3 linked regions of the Danio rerio genome follow. The protein of the gene in region 3 purifies or fractionates together with the protein of the main gene of each other region. This does not show direct contact. Links are inferred from orthologs where the notes say so. Each region holds a gene or a part of one and is shown on either strand. Other genes may lie near its edges. The genes, in order: eif3f, angel1 and eif4ea.

The links.
Region 1: the proteins of eif4ea (region 3) and eif3f purify together in Homo sapiens (affinity purification with mass spectrometry; 3 studies listed by BioGRID and IntAct, with this or other methods). This does not show direct contact. The link is inferred for Danio rerio from reciprocal best matches to the Homo sapiens genes EIF4E and EIF3F.
Region 2: the proteins of eif4ea (region 3) and angel1 purify together in Homo sapiens (affinity purification with mass spectrometry; 3 studies listed by BioGRID and IntAct, counting the BioPlex papers as one, with this or other methods). This does not show direct contact. The link is inferred for Danio rerio from reciprocal best matches to the Homo sapiens genes EIF4E and ANGEL1.

Annotation. Positions count from the first base shown.
Region 1 is NC_133176.1:11,701,564-11,706,007, reverse strand, and holds the start of eif3f (eukaryotic translation initiation factor 3 subunit F), read right to left. Parts: upstream 2,832-4,444; 5' UTR 2,805-2,831; coding exon 2,693-2,804; intron 2,514-2,692; coding exon 2,443-2,513; intron 1,305-2,442; coding exon 1,225-1,304; intron 71-1,224; coding exon 1-70. UniProt on the Homo sapiens protein: Component of the eukaryotic translation initiation factor 3 (eIF-3) complex, which is required for several steps in the initiation of protein synthesis.
Region 2 is NC_133192.1:58,746,829-58,749,495, forward strand, and holds the end of angel1 (protein angel homolog 2), read left to right. Parts: intron 1-41; exon of another isoform or gene 42-381; coding exon 382-406; intron 407-1,056; coding exon 1,057-1,223; intron 1,224-1,811; coding exon 1,812-1,960; 3' UTR 1,961-2,166; downstream 2,167-2,667.
Region 3 is NC_133189.1:48,178,938-48,183,083, forward strand, and holds the start of eif4ea (eukaryotic translation initiation factor 4E-1A), read right to left. Parts: upstream 2,946-4,146; coding exon 2,928-2,945; intron 1-2,927. UniProt on the Homo sapiens protein: Acts in the cytoplasm to initiate and regulate protein synthesis and is required in the nucleus for export of a subset of mRNAs from the nucleus to the cytoplasm which promotes processes such as RNA capping, processing and splicing.

The sequences.
Region 1 (4,444 bases), on a different chromosome or scaffold from region 3:
TGGAGCCTCTCTGCTGTAATACTCATGGATCAGAACCGAGTGCTCAGTGATGTCAAATCCTGTGGCATACCTGCAAAAACAACACAGCCTCTTTCTTCAGTGAAACAACATTCCTTAAGTTTATCTGAAATCAGATTCTATTATTATATTTTGAAATATTTTAGATAGTCATTTTTGTAATATTTTCCATTTTAAGTTCTAATAATTCTGTTACCTGTATAATTATTCTTTTTTGATATATAGATATAACCTACATTATGGAAGCTACCCTGTCACAGTAATCAATATATGAACTTATCGCATTGATAAGCCGTGTCATATTATATTGACATGACCTCAGACATTTTTAGTGATGCAATATATATCGCCCATACATAAAAATGAATTCTAGCAACATTTCAGCTGGTTTTGCAACATCTCGATCTCTATTGAGGTGTCAGTATGGTTTAAAAAGCTCTACAGGTTTTACTATAAATTGCTATAGAAGATTTTCATGTGGGTGTCTGACAACTAAAAATAGATCTGCTAGCAGATATCACAGCTTCTGTTACTTTTTGCCTTGCACCTTTTTGTTAACATTTATTATTATTTATGATATGCGTTTTTACAATCTCATTCCAAAGCCATAGGATAACTAAATTAAATAGTCTTAACAATAAAATATTATGTGTTCTTTGTATGAGTGTACTTGCATTGTGGTGATATTATATTGTCATTCTGGTATTATATAATGAGTGGCATAGAATGGTATTAAAATCACAATAAAATCATTTATCGCAATGTATTTTGGTGCAATATACCGTACAACAAAAACTAGATATATCGTGACAGGCCTAATGGAAGCTTGCTTTTACAATGGAATAAAAGGCAAATATACTTAAAAAAAAGAGTAGCAATATAAACTGAACTGTAAGAACAACAAATGAAAATGAAATGAATATCTGAATTGTGAAATATAAACTTGTAAACATGAGATATACATTTAAAATGGCTGCAAAAATAAATCATGGGACTGTAGGAGAAAAAAATATCATTTTATTTAATTTTCTTATTTTAGTTATTTTACCATAGCGCAAAGCAAAATGCATTAAATGAAAAATAACAAATGTTCACAAAAGTTTCTAAACCTTCTAAAAATATAACAAAAAATGTGCTTACAACAATAACTTAACAAAACTTTAGCAAAGAAAAGAATTATATTAATTTGGAAATGCGGCCACATACCATCCAACAATGACTTCACTCGGCGAAACCTTCTTATGAAGCTCATACATGTTCTTGGCGAACTCCATGTCAACAGCCACCTATTTAAAAAAAATAAAATAAAAATAATTTTAAAAGGTAAATAAATTGCACAATGATGATGATTAAATGCTGGTGCTCCTTAGTAAAGCATAAATAACATATGGTACATGTCCAAAAATACAGTAGCATGTAACATGACACTTTTGAATTAAGTTGGTTTTATATTTGAACATTCAGACACTCGTGTTCAATAAAATAGTAAAGCAAATTTTAAAGAGGCTAATACAGATTCATTCATTTTCTTGTCGGCTTAGTCCCTTTATAAATCCGGGGTCGCCACAGCAGAATGAACCGCCAACTTATCCATCAAGTTTTTAAGCAGAGGATGCCCTTCAAGCCGCAACCCATCTCTGGGAAAAGGCTAATACAGATAAATTAGCAAATTGTTATAGTTAAAAAAAAAAAAAAAAAGCTTATGAACTCTATGAAAGGTCCCTACATTGTTTACCAGGCTACATTGAATAATCGGTCTGAAATGCATGACTTCAAAATAGGCATGGGACGATAACCGTTTTCAAGGTACACAGTGATTTAAAAAAAAAACTGATGTTTTAAAACCGCCAAAATTATCTGCTATAGATGAATTACCAGTTTGTAAACAGTAAAAAAAAAAAAAAAAACTGGAGCGCTACCATTTAGCAGAGCCGTAATCACTATGTAATACTGTGAAAATGTGATATTTATATTAAAGAATATTAACGTCAGAATTGTATACCGGCCCATGCCTACTTTAAATCCACATTAGCACCATTTAACTGACTGTAAACAATGTTGTACTTTAATAGTCACTGGCTGTTAATTTGAGTTGACCGTTTAGGATTTGACAAAGAATACCTTTCTGAAATTACATTAAGAAGGTGAAAGTCTGAATGTGCAAATATAAAATCAACTTTACCTCACTTCAATTTTGGCTGATGGTTTGTAAGTGTATTTCAACCAATCAATTAGCTAAAGATGCATAACAACAGAACATGAAATACCACAGATGTCTCACTCGAACCCTTTAGACCATTACAAAGTTACAGTGAGATACCTGTGATGTGAAATTGTTTTGTTTTTCGTTATGCCTAAAAAGCTACATAAATGTCTGGCACACACTAATGTAAAGGATGTATTAGATGATGCTTTTTTTCTCACCTCATCTTCAGACTCGTTGTGAGGAACAGAGAAGCAGTTGGTGACATCGACTGAATGTTTATCTGCTGTTCCTGTTTGACACACAAACACAACCACCAGGTAAGTGATGCTGCTGATCTGTACAGTTTCTCATCCACCCCAGCCATTCAGCTCGACTACAACACATGCTCCACAAGACCAAGCGACGCTCATGTTGTTTGTAATAATCGCAACTGTCTCATAAATCTCACACAAGAATTCAATGACCCACCTAATAATGTCCCGATCACGCGACTCGCTCCTTCATTCCTGCGCTCGTATGAGTCCACAATCGAAGCCAAAACCACCGGGTGGATTTTCACGACCGGGCCGTGCACCGCCATGATTTCGAAGAGGAAGTAAAAGATGATGATAAACAGAGAAGAAGAGCGCGTCAGTGGGATTCGCGCTGCCGCCCCCTAGCGGATGTAGGTGGCTGACAAAATAATGTGTAAAAAATTATAATCAAATAAATAATTAAACACAGCATGTAAAGTTTTAGTGGGTGGGTCAGGTTAAAGTTCTTCGAGGTTTGCTTGGTACATATCCATTTTTTCAATGGACAATTTAATAGCAACACAACTGCATGTTAATGCCAAAAATCGGATCAGCTAACCACATGGCAGCAATCCAAAACATTTAGACATGATGAAAACATGGCCAAGACAACGCACATGAAAAGATAATGGAGTAATTCATAGTAAATTGGCTACGATAGTGTTTTTGAAACAAATGATAGTAAAGTTTATTATACTGTAGGCCTATACTATAAAGTATTAAGTTAACAACACATGCTAATAAATGCTACTGCATTATCTATAATAAACTGTGTAGGCAACTGTAGTATATTTTAGTTTTACAACAGTAAATTGTGATGTATTATCATGTAGCCTAATATATAACTAACCACAGGCTATTGGGCAACTTGTTTTGCTATAGGCCTAGTTGTTGTAATAACATATCATTTAGGCCAGAGGTATCCAATCTAGGGCATGTGGGCCAAACTTGGCCCTTGATAATCTTTGATTTGGCCCACCATCCCATCTGAGAAGAGAGACTGATAGGGAGGGTTGGGACAATTGCCTTTAACAGAGATCTTAATTTCTAATTTAACGCAACCTTGGTTTGTTTGATTATTTTATTGCTGATCTACAAAAAAAAGGTAAATGAAAATAAACAAGTCAAGGCAGAGGGTGCAGCTTTACTAGTGTAACTCCATTCTGTTTTAAATGAATTTTGTTTTACTATAAAAAGTTCATTATACAGGTGAGGCAGTGGCGCAGTAGGTAGTGCTGTCGCCTCACAGCAAGAAGGTCGCTGGTTCGAACCTCGGCTCAGTTGGCGTTCCTGTGTGGAGTTTGCATGTTTTCCCTGCCTTTGTGTGGGTTTCCCCCACAGTTCAAAGACATGCAGTAAAATGGGTAGGCTAAATTGTCCGTAGTGTATGAGTGCGTGTGTGAATGTGTGTGTGTGGATGTTTCCCAGAGATGGGTTGCGGCTGGCATAAAAAACTTGCTGGATAAGTTGGCGGTTCATTCCGCTGTGGCGACCCTGGAATAATAAAGGGACTAAGCCGACAAGAAAATGAATTAATGAATGAAGTTCATTATATAATAAAATCTGCATAAGATAATATGAAGCAATGTTAAAGTTATTTTTAAATATTAAATTAGGAAACCACCAATGCAACTTTAATGAAATAGAGTTTGGTATGTTTACATTCGGCCCACCACCCTCAATCAAGCCCTTCATAGGAAAAAGTGTGGGCACTTAATGTAATTTCAGTGAGAGACATTATTTACATTATGTCTTTGGAAACATTTGAAAAATCTTTGTTATTTAAAAAAACAACATGCATTTTGGACTACTGGTGGTGCCTTAATTTTAAGTTTCAGATGGAAACGCTGAGTTATATTGACACTGCCTGTTGATATTTTTACATCAAAATAACTCAATATTACAAACATAAGAACAATTCAAATAT
Region 2 (2,667 bases), on a different chromosome or scaffold from region 3:
GTCAGTGGTAGATTTAGGCATGGAGATTTAGGCAGATTTAGGCCCCCCCACCCCCTCCACACCCCCCCCCCCCCCCCAGTCACCCAGATATCACCCCCACTGTGTCCCAGTCTTCATTTAGGCCCTGCAGCTTGCGATGGACCTGCTCGACATGCTACTAAACATTCAAGCATTAACACAGAACTGCACGCTTTCTGACAAATAAGACGATAAAAAGTCACGTTTGTGCAAAAGTCACAGATTATTACATTTAACAAGCGATTACTCTAGATCTTAAAGAGCTATTAAGGAAGTTGTTATTTCGATCTTCACACTTATTAGGGTCATTGTTGAAGACACGTCCTGGAATATGCTCTGATTTTTATGCTCTATTTTTTTCAGACCTAAGAGACATGTTTAGTCTAAGGTGAGTTTCATTTATTTATTTATTTTCCCTCAAAGTTATTCTTTTTCTGCAAATGTGAAGTTCATCCAGGTAGCACAAATGTTTTGCAAATCAATGCAAAGTTGAAATCAAATCACTTTTATAATCACATCATCATCATCATCATCATCAGCAGCACACGTGTGCTATAATGAGCTGAGTTACTCTGAAAGATCCTCTGGCAAACACTAAATTACAAATATTTTGTGAGCAAATGCTTTTTGTAATGGGAAAGCAAAAACTTTGGGCATCAACACTTTTTGTGTTCATGTTCTGGTTTTGTCTTTCTTAGTTTGACGTCATCCCTGCTGAAAAATCCAGCTTAATGTTAACATAATGCAAACTTTTGTGCAAGTGAGTGGAGATATTTAGTGGTAAACTGGTGAAAACAAAACTCATCATCTCCAAAATCATAGCATAAACGTAAAGACAAAAAGTAAACCAAAAATACTTTTATATAATTAATATCATAATTGTATTTTAATATTTGGGTTCATGCTGAAATCAGCTGTACGTAAAGGTTAAAGGTATTACAGGTTAAAGTCTTTATAATTTTCTACTCTTCTGCACATTTAGTGTAAATAATTGTCTAGGGGCAACTCAAATGCTAAACTCTGACTGTATTTTGGCAGGTTCAGTCCTTCTTTACGTCACAGGTTGAGTCTGACGTCTGCTTACAGTCATATTCATCCCGAAACACTGACTGATCTGGTCACGACACTGAACTCTGAAGGAGCTGCCATGGTCGACTACATCTTCTACTCCCAACGGCAGAAGAGCGGCTTCAACGGAGGCGGAGGTATCATCATTCATTCAGCTTTAGTCCATTATTTATCAGAGGTTTGCACAGCGGAATGAACCGCCAACTATTCCTGCATAGTTTCACGCAGCTGATGCCCTTCCAGCTGCAACCCAGTACTGGGAAACACCCATACACTCTCACATTCACACCATATGGCCAATTTAGTTCATCCAATTCACCTATAGCGCATGTAGGGTTGGGTATCGTGGATAGTGGTTCTAAATCGATGCTTTTAAAATGGTACCGGTGCCAAAACGATGCCTGAACAGATACTTTGGAGCCACAAAATGATGGTGGATGACTGGAAAAATCTAACAAAAATAAAAAATAATAATTTAAATTGAACTTTGAAGTTTAAAATATACACCAATTCCTATTTAAATTACATTATATTATTTTATATAATAATTTTTGGCCATTTGTTTGTTAGCATGATTTTAAGATTAGCATTTTGCAGCTAACATTACATTAAGAGTGTGTGTCGAGTGTGTTCTGTGACTCTGCTGTATTTATTGGTTGTATTTTTAAAGTATGTTGCACATAGTTCTGTATTTATTGTCTGACGAGTGTGCTTGTGTTTTTCAGAGAGCGCTGGTGGTCTGAAACTGCTGGCTCGTCTGTCTCTGCTGTCTGAAGCTCATCTCTGGTCTCTGCGAGGTTTACCCAATGAAAGCTTCCCCTCTGATCATCTCAGCCTGCTGGTCAAACTTCAGCTCAGCTCAGCGGATATATGACCACGCTAGCACTCGTCTTCTTTATTATTTTAACTGCCTTTGTATTGTAAATCGCACAAAGAAAATCAGTTTTGGTCAGATCAGTATTTTGTTGTGTATTCAGAATTTTCAGTGTATGTGTGTTAATTACAATCTACCATGTGAGGAAACCTGACACGGCGTGTATAATTGACTGTTCCTAATTAATAAATCATAATTATACACTTGGTTTGTTTGGATTATTGGATGTTATATTGAATGCACCTGAATGAATAAGTGAATGTGCTGCTGTTGGTTTTGCTAACTGAACAATCAGTTCAACCCTGCAGTAAATAAACACTAATAAATAAACTCCAGCTGGTCCTAAACGCAGCACCGCGATCATATCAGTCCAGTTCTGTCAATTTTCTTTTGAAAAATATCTTTACAAAGCCTCAATCACTAAGAAAAAGACTATGATAAGCTTGTTTTGTTCTATTATTCTTAATAAATTTAAGAGATTCAACAATTAATGAGAATATTAAGTCTAGGTATTGTCTCTAGGAACTCATTTTTGTGTAAAAATGTGCAACATAATTAAAAAACCTTAACGATAAGATTGAGAACATGATCGGTCCCGGAAAATTCAATTCAGCTTTATTTGTATAGCGCTTTTACAATGTAGATTGTGTCAAAGCAGCTTCACACAAATGGTCATAGTAACTGGATCAGGTTAGTTCAGGTTTAGT
Region 3 (4,146 bases):
TTTTCATCAAGTACCACCTCAGAAAAAATTGTCCCTCCAAGTACCACCATTTAACCAGTATTGAAATACAGTAGCGTAGTAGGCCTAATTAAGCAGCTACAGTTCTGCAGTTTAAAAAAAAAAAGTTTGAACATTAACACTGCTGTGCTTATGTGTAAAAAAACAAATAAATAAAATTTCAATGTTTAAATTAAAATGTAATTTTAAAAGTTAATTAAAAATGGTAGGCTACTGTTCTTAAAAAGTAAAGAAAAAACACCTGTACTTAAATGTAAAGTGTTCACCTGTAGTATAAAAGCCTGGAAATGCTGCTTGGACCTCATAAATATAGGCTATATGTCATCATATTCATATACGAGTCATTTTTTATAAATATTTAAATATCTGTTGCATGTAGATATGGCATATCGGATTACTCTGCGTACCACTAGAAGGCAGCCCGCGTACCACAGTTTGAGAACCACTGGTCTATGCAGTTTTTTGTTTTAAAATGAGAAAACGCTATTAAGAGAGCAATCAGATTTTTTTTTTTTTTTTTTTTGTATTGTTAATGACTTTCTAAACGGGTGACAAAAGCCCCCACGAGTGAGCAATGGCCCTAACAAAAAAAAAAAAAAAAATGAACAAAAAATACAAATAATGAAAATAATAAGAAAATTACTCTGGCTTTCCACTTTCAAAAGCATTCTCTTTCAGATGAAACATGTTATAATGGTATATGCATAAATATTAGAATTTATTAACAAAATCTAGTCCTAAATGAGTCGAAGAAATAAAAAAAGGACTTAAATTTTTTCAAAAGCTTTTTGGCACTAATGTAAATAACATTAAACATAAATAACTAGCATTTTCATATTGAAGCACTAGCAAAGTTTTGTCCTAGTACTAAAAACTAAGCCAGGTCAAACTCCCTGGAATGTATTATCAGGCTTAAAGTGAGCACTATTACTTACTAATACTTTTCCATTAGCTCTGCCTAATACACACTACATTACCAGACAAGGCATTGGCCGGTATATGATTCTGACGGTGTAATAACCTTGGATAAAAATATCATGGTTTCCAGGTATCACGGTATTTCGATTACTGCTTTAATTTTTTTTTCCTTTTTGAAAACAATATATTTTATTTTTTGAAAGATTTTTTACAAATCTGGAGCAGTAAACATGTCAAGATATATAATGAAAATGAATCATAGACATGAATCTTTGGATATCTTTCCAGCTTGAGAAACTGTTGTCTTCAAAAACAAACAAAAAGTAAATAAAAAATCTTACACGGTGCGGTATTACAGAAAATTTTGACAGTTTTAAAACCTTGACTTTTCCAAACCGTGGTATACCTTGAAAACGGTGATCGTCACCTGCCTAGATCACACTGTATACGCTACAAAATACTGAGGTAAAGTTGGATTTATATCCGCACATTCGTTCATTTAATACAGTCCTTGACTACTAATATAAAGTCCCCATTTAGAATTGGCAAATAATACTTTTCTGAAATTATATTAAGAAAATCCAAATATGCTAATATAAAAAACTTTTTTACCTCAATTACAAAAATATATAAAATAATCTAATTAAATAAACAGACTTATGGCACCATTTTAGTTTCAGAAACTCTGAATAACCTCAAAACAGCATTTCAACAAAATCTTGAGGGTGAATAAATAAAATGGGTATAAATACTTAAAAAAATAACAAGTAAATTTCTTTATGGGTGCTACTAGATGAATAATTTAACCTAATATGTTTTGTTCAAAAGGTTATTTAGTTAAAAAGTTCTCAAAAGCTGCTTATATACCCTAATGAAAGAAAACTGATAGAGGTTAAGTTGGTTTAAATTCACACATTTATTCATTTAGCAGTGTCTATATTGGTTACCATATTACATTGAATATTCAATCGGAATTAGCATGCACGTATGACTTCTAAACAACATTAACACTATTTAATTCACTGTGAACAATGTTGTGCTTTGATAGTTTAACTGCTGATTTCCCTATTTAGAATTTGCAAATAATACGTTTCTGAAATTATATAAAGAAAGTCCAAATATGTAAATATAAAAACAGTTTTACCTTAATTACAAAAATATATCAAATAGTCTAATTAAATAAACAGACTTATGACACCATTTTAGTTCCAGAAACTGAATAACTTCAAAACAACATTTCAACAAAATCCTGATGGTGAATAAAAAAATTGGTATAAATACTTAAAACAATAACAAGTAAATTTCTTTATGGGTGCTAGATGAATCATTTAACCTTATAAGTTCTGTTCAAAAAGTTATTTAGTTAAAAAAGTTCTCAAAAGCTGCTTATATACCCTAATGAAAGAAAACTGCCCATATTTGAAACAGAGTTTCTCCAGAGGAAGAATGAACATTAAGTTTCAACCTTCTCATTGTTATTACACTAAAACATGAATCTTTCTAAACACATAATATTAACTCACAAACTAAAGGTTATATTACAAAAATCTTTAAAAGTATACAAAGTTAACCTTTAACAATATCGCAATATGTAACGTTACTTATATTAAGTTTCATTTACTGTCCATACAGAGGCTAAAAACAAACCACATACTTTTCATTGACACATCAGCAAACTACGAGTCTAAATAACAGAGATGCTTCAACACCACGTTCAACTCTCTGAAAAAACAAGCAGCCCACAGCCCTCCATTTCAGAGAAAACATCAACTATTTCACACTTTTGAACAGTCTCCTTCAAACGCATGTGTGCGACAGTCGGGCATCAGCTCATTTGACTGTATGATGGAATATAAATCTGTCTCTACTTGAATATTTATTCAAATTAGCTTATACACAAGCCCTGGTCGACATAAAACTCGTATTACAGATTAAACCCCGCCGTTAAAGTATGTGCAGTAGTGTTTGTGAGAGCAGTTACACTAACTCACCGGTTCAGCAGTCGCCATCTTCTACAAATGTGAAGGGTCTTTCCGTGTGTGAAAACAACATTTGATTGGCTAAACTCAGGCGAACTCGTGTGCGAGCAGCGCGCGCCCGGACAGCGACACCCAGAGGACGGCAGTCTGTTTATGACTGCCAAAAATGTCTATGGGAATTTAATAATAATGATAATAATAATAATAATTAAAAAACTTTATTTAAAAAAATATTATTTCGAGGTGCTTCACAGATATTTAATCAATGATACCAAAACTCTTTTACAAACTACTCTTTTTTTTATTATTATTCTTTTTAAAACTACTTTTATTAAATTATCATCTTGCTTCGGACACAAAAATACATTTGTAACGAATTGTAGAACATTGAATTGACCTGAAGCATTGCCCAAAAATTTAGAAGAATGTTATAAATGGAAAAAAATCATTTAAACACGTAATATGAGCTTTATTTAGATTTTGTAATTACAAAAACTTTTATTATTTGTCTCATTCATTCATTAATTTCCTTTTCGACTTAGTCACTAGATTAATCTGGGGTCGCCACAGCGGAATAAACTGCCAACTTATCCAGTATGTTTTATGCAGCGGATGTCCTTTCAGCTGCAACCCATCTCTGGGAAACTTCCAAATCACACTCATACACGATGGACAATTTAGCCTACACAATTCACCTGTACTGCATGTCTTTGGACTGTGGGTGAAACCGGAGCACCCGAAGGGAACCCACGCGAACGCAGGGAGAACATGCTTCTTTACACAGAAACAGAAACAGCGACATTTTTGTTGTGAGGCGACAATTTGTCTCACATTAAATGAAATAATTTACTTGGTTTAATGTTTTTAAGAGTCATATTGTCAACATTGGCATTATTTTACTGTATTATCTTTGAATGTTCAATATTAACTATAGCCTATTTTATTTGGCAAATATATACTTTTAGTCATTAATTTATTTTGTGGCAGATTCATATTACTTTTAGTTTTAAGAATCACTACAAATCATACATTTTGGTTTTCATTTGTTTAGGCAACTTGGACAATTTGATGTTAAGAATCAAAACTTTCACAAACATTGACAATCTTACTAAAATCAATTCATTACAACCAAATAATCAAACGTGGTTATAAGTATCATTGACAAACTAGTTGAACTGACTTTTCTAATAAACATTTTACATAATAAAACAGACAATAAATACGATCTTAT